Kluyveromyces lactis: one gene and its partner. The protein of the gene in region 1 purifies or fractionates together with the protein of each later gene. This does not show direct contact. Links are inferred from orthologs where the notes say so. Each region holds a gene or a part of one and is shown in the gene's direction. Other genes may lie near its edges. The genes, in order: TIM21 and MGR2.

What was found.
Region 2: the proteins of TIM21 (region 1) and MGR2 purify together in Saccharomyces cerevisiae (affinity purification with western blotting; 3 studies listed by BioGRID, with this or other methods). This does not show direct contact. The link is inferred for Kluyveromyces lactis from reciprocal best matches to the Saccharomyces cerevisiae genes TIM21 and MGR2.

Annotation. Positions count from the first base shown.
Region 1 is NC_006038.1:517,491-520,416, forward strand, and holds TIM21 (Tim21p), read left to right. Parts: upstream 1-1,665; coding exon 1,666-2,370; downstream 2,371-2,926. Other genes in the region: KLLA0_B05742g (60S ribosomal protein uL24), read right to left, coding at 52-70; GAS2 (1,3-beta-glucanosyltransferase), read right to left, coding at 2,643-2,926. UniProt on the Saccharomyces cerevisiae protein: Essential component of the TIM23 complex, a complex that mediates the translocation of transit peptide-containing proteins across the mitochondrial inner membrane. Required to keep the TOM and the TIM23 complexes in close contact.
Region 2 is NC_006041.1:2,160,868-2,163,453, forward strand, and holds MGR2 (Mgr2p), read left to right. Parts: upstream 1-1,444; coding exon 1,445-1,807; downstream 1,808-2,586. Other genes in the region: tyrosine--tRNA ligase MSY1, read right to left, coding at 1-1,117; INA17 (Ina17p), read left to right, coding at 2,132-2,586. UniProt on the Saccharomyces cerevisiae protein: Required for cell viability in cells lacking mitochondrial DNA.

The DNA of each region.
Region 1 (2,926 bases):
ACTTTGTTTCCAATTTCCACCCTTTATTTTATCAGACCTTGTGCCACATACCTAGAGATTGCTTAGCCATTGTATTCGATCTGGTTTCTTGTGCCTTGCTACTATGCTCCAATCACTAATAACACCTCATTATACAGCTATATAATTCAATATACATTTGTTATTTCAACAATATCAAATGATGATAGCTTCCGAGAAACTGGTGAAACTGGTGAACCTCGATGAGCCAGGGTGAAGCCAGGCGAGCGGAGAGGATGCCATAGGGCGTAAACAAGTTTCAGGCTGGAAGGGACTATGCAGTGCCGCAGAACTGAGGCCAAAGGGCACTGTCGTGGATAGGAAGGAGGCCAGGCTCGCGAATGGGGCAAGAGTGCCAAGGAGGGGTACTGGAGGTGGGTGCAGGGATGAGACTAGGCTGGGAACCCCTATCTGGCAAGAGAAACAACCAGTGTCAATGGAAAATGCATAGGCGGCCAGGCAGGGCTCACTAGTAAGCCTAAGATATAAGGTTTTCATGATAGAGTTCCTATGTAGGAAGTATAAATTTCGATTTTTTCATTTTCTGAAAAACATATATAAATTCGAGATGTACGGATGCAAACAGTCACAGGATGGAGCCTCATATTGAAATTCCTACCCAAAGAGATTCTCTGATCATACAATTTGAAGGAAAGAACAGCAGTATATAGTAGTTGTTAACAATTGCTAATAAATATTAGCCTCCATTGGTTGAGTTTGTACAAAAAAAAATGTAGGCATTGGGCCTGAACACCATTGATGGTTCAAGTATTATAAAGGAATTTGAATGAATCGGCACGTAGTATGAATTCAAATTTTGAACAAAAATCAGAGGAGCCCCTCCCGGGACTCGAACCCGGATCACATCCACCGGAAAAATGTATGCTAACCATTGCACTAAAGGGGCTGTAAAAAGCACTTATTTGCTTTTGTTCACTAACTCTGTATACCATGAGGATTGATTAATTTCAAATAGTATATTTATGTAAAATAAACGGTTTCCTGTTTGCATGCCATTAACTTGCTTCTACCATTATCCGTAATAACAACATTTCTCCCGTTGTTTTGTTTTACCTGCACTTTTAAGACCGATCACCATTTTCCATTACCAGAGTTGATAGTTATCATCAATTTCGAAACACCTACTGTACTTAAATTCAATAAAACGTAGCCATTATCACTCTTTCTGCACCAATTCATTCACCTTCTTCCACATAAGTATAAATTTATTGCAAATCTACCCAATATCTGTGGCTCAAGATGTAGCCACCAAAACGTCTTCCTACAGCTATTTACATAAACATCTGAATATGTTCATTTAAGGGAATGATCCCATTTACCCTGAGGATGTTATGACGACCTGTTGAACTGAGGCGATATCTCCGCAGCAATAGATTAAACAATTTAGGTCTCGGTGACACCTACAGGTTCATGCAATTCTTACGAATTTCGTCTTATGTTAATTCCCTCTGTCCTTACTCCGGTATATAGTATTCCAAAGGAAACACCGTCCTTGTCAAATTTAGAGAATTAAATTCTTAGGCTAAAAACTCAAAACTTCTTAAAACATAAGTAGTGTAATAAGGCAAAAGAGATTCTTTCGTCAACAGAAGACATTGAGTCAGAGGGCTGCTAACAAAGGCAATAATGTTCTGTCAGTTCATATCACGTCCAGCCCAGTCTTTGAGTGGAAAATTCTCATCCAAGACACTCTGTTTGCCTTTAATTGCATCTCCAGTCAGAATAAAACATACAGTTCAAGGATATTCTACGTTCAATGCTCAACAGAATGCAGGCAACAAGCAACAAAAAAAGAAGATACCACTATGGCCGCGAATTAGGGCTTTTACGACTTTTACCTTTTCCGGAATACTGGTCATCGGGGCCACTGGTTTAGCTGGAGTTGTCATCTATTTGATTGGAGCAGAGCTATTCTCTCCTTCGGGGGATACTCAAATCTTCAATCGTGCCGTTAGCAAAGTAGAAAATGATGAAGTCGCCAGAAGATTATTGAAATGCAACGATACGGAAACGTCTACAGAGAGATTAAAAGCGTACGGAGAAATTTTAACTGATGATCGTTGGACAAGAAATAGACCAATCTCATCGACAAGAAGAATTGACAAGGAGGGCAAGGAACATTATCTCATGAGGTTCCATGTAGAATCCAAGCAGAAAATGGGGATCGTTCATGTGGAAGCCAAAGAATCCGATGTAAATTACCAACCTGATTTCGTTTCAATGTACCTTGATATTCCTGGAGAAAAACGTCATTATTTGATTAAGCCCAAACTTTCCATTGTCAAACCAAAAGGATTCTTGGGAGTTAATTGGGGCCCCAAAAGAGACTAAACTGTAATGAATCACACCAATGGTATATCAAATCCTTTCATTTTTGATACGAACACTTTTGCATTCTTTTATTTTGTTGTTCACCCGCCATATATATATTCCATAATTCTAATGAAACAATTGACGCCTATTCTCCTCAGTGCAATATTGACTGTTAATATGGTACTTTAAGAAAACTTAAACAAGATGCGGGGTTGCCATGCTGCTCCGCCAAAAAATAGTAAACGAAGAACTTATTTCATGTCTATCTAAACAAAGTGCATTTGATTTATTTATAAAAAGAACGTGTATGTCATAGCTGTCAAAAGAAGCAGGATGGAACATATTTTTTGCGAATTACCAAGATTACTGATATCTTGATCATTGGTTGGAACTTTAATTGATTTTTTTGTGTTAACAGAATCTTGAACCGATTTGATTAAGGCTTGACACTGGGTTTTTGTATTGTAGCTTTTGAAGTTAAAATAAATGTCCTCATTGGCTAACGGACACGTACTTCCACCTTTGCCAGATGCATAATATAGTTTACTCAACTGTAAGCTAAGTTTCTGTCTTG
Region 2 (2,586 bases), on another chromosome or scaffold:
AGACTCTGATCAGTTCAGCTGCCTTAACGTTTTCAAAACCTGAACCACCAAATAAAATTCGCGATACAAACTCTGCATCGTCACCTTTACCAATTCCATGAATCAGATCCACAACTTCTTTAGCTAACCTTTTTTGAGCGTATCTTTCATTTGGCGATAGTGCGTGTTGAGCCATGATGTCTTCAATTAATTCCAACGGTAACAGAGTAAAGATCTTCAATTGCTTTGCCACATCTGCATCAGTAGTATTCACGAAGAACTGATACATATCATAGGAGGTATTGATTTCAGGGTCAATGAATACTGCATTACCCGCCGATTTACCGAATTTTTCTCCAGTGGAGGTCGTCAATAAGGGCACCGTTAAACCAAAAGCTGGACGAGTCTTCACATGCTGGGGAGAAATTCTGTTGATAAGATCGATACCCGCTGTAATATTACCCCATTGATCGTTACCACCAACTTGGATGGACACTTGTTCATTTGAGTACAAATGGTAGAAATCGTATGCTTGTAAGATCTGATACGTGAATTCGTTGAAACCAATACCATCTTGACTTTGCAATCTCGAAGAAACGGAATCACGACTCAACATGTTCTGTATACGAATATGTTTACCGTAAGTAGCAAGGAAATCTAACATCTTAACATCCTGCCACCACGAAATATTGTTTAGATAGGTGACCTTACCTGGTGCATCTCTTTCCTTAATCCTAGACTCGTAGTATTTCAATCCATTCGTGAAAAATGTCTTGTACTGTTCCACAATCCTTTCAATGTTCCCTTGTCTCTTTGCTTCAGCGATAACATCCCTCTCAGTTTTCCTCCCACTTGGGTCACCAACTTTGCCGGTGGCCCCACCAATTAACGAAACGACGTCATGCCCTCTCACATAAAAGTTCAAAAGAACCATTAAGGGCAGTAAATTACCCAAATGCAAAGATTTCGCAGTGGGATCTGCTCCACAATATAGTTTGATCTTATCACCATTACTCAGTTTCTCAGACAATAACTTCTCCGGCTGTGAAACCTGCTGAACCAACCCTCTCTCTCGAAGAACCTGCAATACATCGCATTTCGTTGCCAAATTTCTCACAAGCAACCTCCCAAATATCATTGCAACTTCGAAGCTTTCAAAGCAGAAAGATCAACTGTTAGTATATATTAAAAAAGATAAAGCTTTAACAACCTACTACGGCCAATGGCGCTGTCCAAGACTGACCTTTAGGCAGTTTTCTCGTCTGAACTTCAAAGTCACATCAAATCGGACTCGAATCGAAATTTTCGAAGTTTTCAAACTAGAAAAAAGAATCAAATTACTGTACCAAATGTATGAACGACCAACTCCACAAAACGTAACGGAATTAACCAGGGTCTCGCTCTCTTTCCAGACATCCAAGACTAACGCGCGCACAGATAACACGAACCACGACTTGAACCAGAAATGCCACCACCACCAAAAGTTTACGGCCAACAACAACAACCTTCGAACTGGGAAAAGTTCAAGATGGGTTTGATGATGGGTACTACCGTTGGTGTTTGTACTGGCATCTTATTCGGTGGTGTTGCCATTGTTACACAAGGCCCAGGTCCAAACGGGTTTGTGAGAACCTTAGGGCAGTACATCGCTGGTTCTGCTGCCACTTTTGGCCTATTTATGAGTATCGGTTCTGTCATTAGAAGTGATGGAACTTCCGACAACTCCCACAACAATGGTTTCTACCATAGTAAGATGGCCGAATTGCAACAGAGATCAAGATTTGAAGTATGGAAAGCTAAACAAACTTATGGTTTGTACAAGGATTAAGCGTTTTTACCCAGCAATTGTACATGGGTCAGAGGCAGCGGTACCTACTAATCTTTTCGTATCTACTCTATTTCTGTCCTCTCGGTATATTTTTAAGTAAAATGAATATTGTAAATAGGAATTTAAGATGATCAATTTTTCGAGAGGAGCTGATGAAGTAAAGAACCTGGGGAGATTACAGTACACACGTAGGGATCACAAAGGCATACTGCGAGCTTCAGAATTTGTTTCCATTGCAGTTAGTGAACGGTGTAAACACACACTTTGGTATATTCGTACCGTTTTTTCTATTTGGAAGAAGTTGACATAGATAGTAGAACAATAATGTTCAGACCGTTGGTGAAAAGAGTCGTAACTCGCCGTTTTCTAGCGGCTGCTAATAACAGTAATGCCCATATAGAGATCAGGACTCTAGAAGATCTTGCCAAGCTTCAATCACTCGATAACGTGGATCCTAAGTTAATTAGTAAGTTAATCAATGACAAGACTAACGAGCTTAATATTAAGAACGAACTACAGATGTTGAAACAGTTACAGGCAGAAGAACAGAAGACACAGGAGACTTCTCTCAAGAAGTTTGTTAGGCCAGCATGGATCTTTCTACTAATGGGTTCTATCGTATATCTTTCTTGTCATTATGTATGGTGGAAATTAGATTACGAGGAAAAAGAACTCGAATATACGCATAAAGTGCACCAGTTGGAAAGCGAACTAGCTGCATTGAACGAAGCACACAATTCTTCGGTATCTTCAGATAAAAATTCTAAAAGGTCAAGCAG